Linked DNA regions of Lepisosteus oculatus. The protein of the gene in region 1 purifies or fractionates together with the protein of each later gene. This does not show direct contact. Links are inferred from orthologs where the notes say so. Each region holds a gene or a part of one and is shown in the gene's direction. Other genes may lie near its edges.

What was found.
Region 2: the proteins of gatad1 (region 1) and phf12b purify together in Homo sapiens (affinity purification with mass spectrometry; 7 studies listed by BioGRID and IntAct, with this or other methods). This does not show direct contact. The link is inferred for Lepisosteus oculatus from reciprocal best matches to the Homo sapiens genes GATAD1 and PHF12.

The regions. Positions count from the first base shown.
Region 1 is NC_090705.1:5,057,064-5,060,813, reverse strand, and holds the start of gatad1 (GATA zinc finger domain-containing protein 1), read left to right. Parts: upstream 1-1,154; 5' UTR 1,155-1,367; coding exon 1,368-1,553; intron 1,554-2,261; coding exon 2,262-2,384; intron 2,385-2,475; coding exon 2,476-2,535; intron 2,536-2,622; coding exon 2,623-2,806; intron 2,807-2,905; coding exon 2,906-3,096; 3' UTR 3,097-3,750. UniProt on the Homo sapiens protein: Component of some chromatin complex recruited to chromatin sites methylated 'Lys-4' of histone H3 (H3K4me), with a preference for trimethylated form (H3K4me3).
Region 2 is NC_090721.1:7,537,171-7,540,920, forward strand, and holds the start of phf12b (PHD finger protein 12), read left to right. Parts: upstream 1-1,290; 5' UTR 1,291-2,016; coding exon 2,017-2,082; intron 2,083-2,737; coding exon 2,738-2,919; intron 2,920-3,750.

The DNA.
Region 1 (3,750 bases):
ATAATTACTTTTCCCACAACACAACAGAGGCCACTCTTGATCCTGCTCATCATCCTTCTGTGCCTAGAATAAGAAATCAGTTCTGTTGTATTAAGAAGTGCTGCTGTTGTAAAACACGGAACACAGAACATCAAAGCAAGTGTTACAAATGATACTGCATATATTCTTTTAGGTTTCAGAAGTGTAGGTTTTGAAAGAATATGACCCAAGTTATAAGACCTGCCCCGTCTTGATAAGTCCTACCTGCTGGCAGTGCAATTGCATTTCATATCCATTTTGGCCAAACAAGGTAGCCATATCACTCAGCAATTCACAACTGGCAACCCACTGAAGCTAAGCAGGTGTAAGCCTGGCCAGTACCTGGATGGAGGACATCCTGGGAAAAACTAAGGGTGCTGCTGGAAGAGGTGTTAGTGGGTCCAGCAGGGGGCGCTTACCCTGCGGTCCATGTGGGTCCTAATGCCCCAGCATAGGGACGGGACACTATACTGTAAACAGGCGCCGTCCTTCGGATGAGATGTAAAACCGAAGTCCTGACTCTCTGTGGTCATTAAAAATCCCAGGGTGTTTCTCGAAAAGAGTAGGGGTGTAACACTTGGTGTCCTGGACAAATTTCCCATTGGCCCTTCCCAATCATGGCCTCCTAATCCAGGTGGATGCTGCACATTGGTGGTGGTGGAGGGGAGCCCCGTTACTTATAAAGTGCTTCGAGTAGAGTGTCCAGAAAAGAGCTATATAAGTTTAAGCAATTATTATTAATTATAAGGTATAGTTGGATTTCATTTAGTTGCGTCTATTATCAGCACTATGGATATAAATTTCTTCTCACCCCATCACCACAATTCATTAGAACCATTATAAAAGGGAAACATTCTCGTCTTCACACTGAAGAGAAATTAGTTTTACGAAATGAGACGATCAATTCTAACCTAATTCTAACCTATCAATTATAACCTAATCGTTGTCTTCACGAACCCATGAAACCGAAGGTCCGGTTCCTGGTTTTAACGTTTTGTGATCGGAGCTGATCGGTCCTCCACCCAGCAGAGGGCGGTACACGCAGTTGTCGCTGCCCAGGAGCAGCTGGCGAATGTGACAGCTCGGAGAGTTTCCTCGGTGGCTTGAATAGCCAATCGACTCGCTGTTTACGGGCGGAGCTTGAGGTCCTCTTCCGGAGATGAGTTCCTGGGGTCCGCTTTTGTTACGGATGGTCCCCCCCTCCCCAACCCCGATCAGATTTAAACTTTAATAAATTACAGAGTGCAGCAGCAGCAGCAGCCCTAGCTCCCGCATGTTTTTTTCTAGGAAAAGACTGACGCGCCCGACCCGAAAGCAGCCGAAGTTGCGTCTCGTTTCGCGCCGGGACCATGCCGCTGGGACTGAAGCCCTGCTGCAGCGTTTGCAAAACCAATTCCTCTTCCATGTGGAAGAAGGGGAATCAGGGGGAGATCCTGTGCAACAGCTGTACCGGGAAGAGCGGCGCGTCCACCGGAGGAGCCCCGGGGACCGCGTCTTCTTCCTCGGCACAGCAGAGCAATGGCGGCGGGAAGCAGGTGCGGACGGTACCCAGACGGCAACCTCACTTTTCTGAAGCAGCAAGCGAGCCGCTTTGATTGGTAAAAGGGGCTGCCGCAGTGACGGTCTTATTGAGGCACTACTTTTGTTTGATCGTCTTCTGGAGACCTTTATGCTAGAGGTCTGTCGTAGGCCGAGGGCGTTTTGTTTTCTTGCCGTGTTAAAATGTTGTGTTTTTAGTCCGGCGTGCAATCGCCTCTCCTCCTGTCTGGCGTGGCGGAACTGCTTGTTCGGGGGTGGTTTGGTGAGTCGGGAGGGTTTATACCCCCTGAATGCGTTTCTAAAGGTCATGGTCGGAGGACGTTACCTCTGGCACTCCTCTTTTTTGTATCCTGCTGTTGATGGCTTGATGTGCCTCACTTTGCGGCTCTGGAAACATGTCTGTTCCGGGTCATGTCCAGTTCTCAAACCAAAATACCCTTGAGGCAGCGTATGCAAGCAATGTGCCTTTCCAGCCCCTCGAACTTGTAAAAGCCAAATAATTAATGATGTTCCGGGCTTTATCCCCAAAAAGTCCTTGACATCAAGACATGTGACATGAAATATGACCCTATATATTTTCTAGCTAAATCTCGTCACGAAATGTATGAGCTTTGCCTCTTAGTTTTAGGAGACGGGCTTACTCTTGTGCTATATAGGACTCCTAAAGTCTTGTTTTCACTTGATAAGATAATCCTGTTTTTCAGTCTAAACAAGAAATCCACAGGCGCTCAGCGCGGCTGAGAAACACGAAGTACAAGGCTCCGGCGAACGAGAAGAAGGTCTCCACTAAAGGAAAGGGCAGACGGCACATTTTCAAGCTCAAAAATGTAAGCTTTCACCCGCTGTGAGCCAGCATGTGTAAGCAGCTGTCTGATGTAGCGAAAAGTCCAGAAACCCCCATGTCAATTTTTTTTCCAGCCAATTAAAGCGCCGGAATCGGTGTCTACAATAATCACCTCCGAATCCGTTTTTTACAAGGTAAGCTGTGCTGAAAGCAGCGACTAATGAACGGCACCCGTTGCGAAAGCACCGGCCGCACACTTGCCTTCCCCGTTGTCGTTCCAGGGCGTGTATTACCAGATCGGGGATGTCATCAGGGTGATCGATGAGGAGGACGGGATGCCCTACTATGCCCAGATCCGCGGGTTCGTGCAGGACCAGTACTGCGAGAAGAGTGCCGCTCTGACCTGGCTCATACCCACCCAGACCAGCCCCCGGGACCAGTTCGACCCGGCCACCTACATCGTCGGTGAGTTCGGTGAGGCCGGACTCCGAGAAGCCGGACCGCACAGAACCGCTTCGCGCCCACTGCCCTGTTCTCCCTTTCTTGTTTTGTTTGTTTGTTTAGGGCCAGAAGAGGACCTACCCAGAAAAATGGAGTACCTCGAGTTTGTGTGCCACGCGCCTTCTGAGTATTTTAAGTCCAGGAGCTGTCCCTTCCCCACTATTCCTCTTCGCCCGGAGAAGGGTTACATTTGGACTCATATAGGACCCACACCTGCAATTGCAATCAAGGAATCTGTTGGGAACAGCCTGTAGTCTGAGTGCAGTGCTGGTTCGGTTTTGATTTTCTGGGCAGTGTGCTCGGAGACTGATAAGAACTCATGAAGTGCGTAGAGCAGACCCGCCCTGTGGAATGGCACTGCGTTTATGGGATGATCTGCAATGTAGGCTCTTCCTATAATCGTCATTAGAAAGCCACCTCATCCTGGGAAGAGCTGGGTTCATCCACAGTCTTCCTGAAGAACAGCGTACAAGGTGGGGCTATGGAGGACTACACCTGGCTCCGGACTGCAGTTTCTGGAGAATAATATAGCCAGCATATTTTAAGAAGGTGGGAAGAAACTGGAGTACCTGGAGATCCCCCATGTGAACAGTATTAGTAAATCCGGCATTGAACCCTGAACTCTAGACTTGCAACCATGTGGTCTAGTTGGCATTTGTGTTCTAAATGTCTTGAGAAATTGTGCATTGTGCTGGGAGGAGACAACGTGCTCTTGGCCATAAATTGTCTCTGGAGTCTTGAGTTTGTAAAGGAAAAGAAGGTGATGTGTGAGACATTTTTCACATATTTCATGTCAACATTTGTTTTGTACATAAAGATATATACTGAAAATGCTCAATTTTTTGGAGTATTTAAAGCCTGTTTTTTTCCCCAAGGAAAGGGAAAAAGAGCCGGATGTTGAAACTGAT
Region 2 (3,750 bases), on another chromosome or scaffold:
AGGTGCAAATGCTTTTAATATCACACTACCACAGATGGATGCAAGGCATTGCAATATGTCTACGTGCAGAAAAGACCATAACGGGTTTTCTTGGAACAGTGTTACAAAATAACCCTACAATTGTGGCCATGTTATGTGTAATCCGGCAAAGTGCGAAACTGCGCTAGTATTTCTTAACTATCATAATTCTGTAACTTGTTTTCTAATATTATAACACCGTTTCTAACTACACTATTTTATATTAGAAGAGCTTTTCGCGCGTGTGACGCGTCACAGGAGCACAACCAGGTCCGCAGAACTAGACGCAGCTTCTGCGCCGGGAGCGAGGCAGGACGTCGAGCGTGCGTGAGAGGCTGGTCAGCGCCAATGGAGGGGGAGCCGAAATGTCCCCCCCCCCATCGGCCTGAAAAACACAGTCAATTTTACTTTCCCATCGTTCGTTTAATCTGAATTTACACCATCGGCGGGTTAGGTACGGTGGTCCCCCTTGAATGACATTTTCTGTTGACCTAAATCGAATGTTGGTCTCCGTCTCTGAAATTGAAGTACGTCACTGTTTTTAAAGCGATCATTAAAACAGTAACTGGTCTTGAAACGGGTTTCGCCTTTAAGGGCGAAGGTGTTAGACTTATTTTTCTTAAACATTATTTAAATAAAAAGAGAAATCGGGGATATTCATATTTTTTCACGCTATTTACAAAGCAAAACCGGAAAGGACCAGGCTCTTTCCCTCTGAAGTAGAAAGCACTTCCGTTTTAGAGTATGCCACCGCAGCAGGGTCTGTGCCGTAAATCGTGTTTCGGCCCGATAAGAGGTCACAGCTTTAAATCCCCTGTCTGCAACACGGAAAGTACAAAGCTTGTATTGGTGTGCTTGTCACTGTTCTGTAGGACGGGTGACAGTTAAAAAACAACTGCCAAAAAAATGCACCTCCACAGACGAGAAGGAATTTGCCATTACCAATATGGCGTCTCCGACCTTCAGTGGCAAAGATGCTAAGCGTCTGCGCAGTGGTGGCAGATACCCGGATGATGACGACATAGATATATGTGCGGAATTTTCCTATTTTTAAATCTTACAGTCAGTCCTGTTCCTGCAAAATATCCCCCTGTCGGGTACATAAAGATTAGTAAATTAGAAAACTTCCTGTGGCCTTAATGGTTGTTTTTGTAAAACGGAGTGAAACGTGTTGTTTTGTAAACCATCTGCTGGAAGCTCAAGCGACATGATACCCTACCAAGATGGCTACCTGAGACTTCATCCACCATTACGGGACTGCGCATGCCCAGACGGCGCTTTGCTCAAGTTTGCGCCAACTCCATGGAGAGGATGTTAGCAGTGTCGGGGATAGATGCACAGGATTGATTCACAACAATAATATTTATCTCGCAATAACGGCAGTGATCTGTGGAAAAATAACAACAAGGGTATCCCCGATTGTAGCCACGTGTGGTCGGCCTATCGATTACCCTGGTGCATTTTTATTGCTTTTAAAAAATATATATATATTATGGAAGGGAACGGTTCTGCCGATCTGAAGAGCATCTTTGCTAGCAGCAGCTATAATTGCAGGAGCAGAAACAAGAACCATGTAGGTTAGGCCTCACAAAGGCCACGCTCTTGTATTCCTGTGGTTTTCTTTCTGCTTTTTATGGTTGGACCTGGTCCCGCGACCAGCACCTTCGCCATTGTGAACTGGAGCCGTCGGGAAGCGTGGAACTGACGGAATTTCGGGCTCCGGTGCTTTTTTGGTTTCGCTGGTGGATTTCGTCAAGAAAGGACTCGCCGCCGTGCGATAGTCATCAGATTGGGGGAAAAATATTGCATATTCTTGCGTTTGTAAACAAGCCCGCTAAATCCACGGATTGCAAGCCCACGGTGGGACACGTTTGCGGGTGAAAATACAGCTGGCCATTTGGATACTTTTGTATGTTGGGACCGTTGCTTTTTACCTTGGAAAGCCGCGGCGTTCAGTAAGGATTCCGTTTAATACCGAAGGAACTGACTGCTGTATGAATGTGGGACAAAATGGAGACCCCAACGATTGTATACGATTTGGATACCACTGGAGGTCTGATGGAGGTAAGGCCTTAAAGATGATCCTGACCCAAGTGCGTTTGTTTTATTTAAAGAAAACACCGTCGTGTAGAATTGGGATTGTTAATTTGCATTAGAGGTAGGCAAAAGCGGCTAGATTTGAAAAGTTCAAATCGGGATTAGGCGTGCAAAAGTGATACAAACCTGCAGGTGACACGAATTCTCAAAATGTAGTAATTCCCCTTGAATTTTGTCTCGGCTTTGACCGAGTGACAGCTATTAAAACGACACATGTTGACAGGGCAAGCTACGTTTTGCTCGGTCTGGACCATCACTGGCGACTGTGCTCCGCCGGGCCCATAGGACTACGCACCCGGGCCAGGAGCCGTGTGTCGGACGGCTGTTTTTAACTTTTTAATCTTTGCACATTTAAACATTAGCTGAATGGCACTGAGCCCCCAGACGGCAAACGCCATGTTCATTGTCTGTTTTTCAGAGTCACTCAAAAAAGTGAAGTTCGGGCATGTCAAAGTCGTGGTAATTTCTCTCTTCAGCCCTTATAGCAGCAGTAGCCGCGGTCTGGTAATCGATATGTGCAGCTACATATATGTAGGAAATCGCGTATGGAGGAACTGGTTCGCTTTTCCCCTTAACTTTTGATTCCCTCTGTGTGTGTGTCTGTGTCCCTGTCACATTTCAGCAAATCCAAACCCTCCTCGCTCCCCCCAAATCCGAGGACGGGGAGAAGAGGAGCCGAAAGCCGGATAAAGAGGCTCGGAGGAGCGGCAGGGCCACCAACCACGACACCTGCGACAGCTGCCGGGAGGGAGGGGACTTGCTCTGCTGCGACCACTGTCCGGCCGCCTTCCATTTACAGTGCTGGTGAGGCCCGCTGACCGGCTCTCCCCGCCGGCTCGAGCGCCCCTCGCGAGGGGGGGGGGGGGGGCGCGACGGCAAACACGGCCCTTCCGCCAGTCTCGCGCTGGCGGTGCGGCCGGCTCTGGGCTCCGAGGCAGCCGGCGGCCCCTGTTCGGCCAGACGGACCCTCCGCCCTGGTTTCGTTTACCAAAACAACACGGTTTCAATTTTAAGACTGGGGACGCGGGGGAAGAGGAAAGATACGGGCGTGTGTGGCGGTTGCGTTTCAGGGGAGTCGGGGGGGGGGGTGTTGGCGTTCTGGGATTTCAAGGTTTCGGCCGTTGAGGTTACGGAAAGGAAATGGCTCCGTTCGGTTGCCATCGAAACGCCGCAAGTGGACTTTTGCCCCCGGGTGGGTGTGTGTGTGTGGGGGGGGAGGCAGGCCGGGGCAGGTTTCGAGCTCCAGTGTTTTACGTGCTAAGGCTGCAACAGTCCCTGCCGGAGCGAATCGAGCCTCCTTATCTCGGAACCGAATGATGTCCACCCATAAGTGAAATATCAGCCACTTTCATTTTGTTTTTGTTTTTTAATCAGTGTTGCGTGTCCGCGCCCTTGCTTTAATCCCCGGGGGTAGTTCTCTCCCCCCTCCCCTCTTCTTTCTTGGCCGGGGTTTCACTGAACGGGGCTTTGGCAATTTTGGGGGAAAAAAATGGAGTCTGCGCTGCGGTTCGCCTGCGCTTGTGTTTACAATATGGCGACCTCCCTTTAAAATGTTTTATTCCAGCGCCATTTTGCTGTCATTCTGCGTATTAGTGATATTTATTCTAAAATAGTGACAGTGTAAGGGGTATGGGA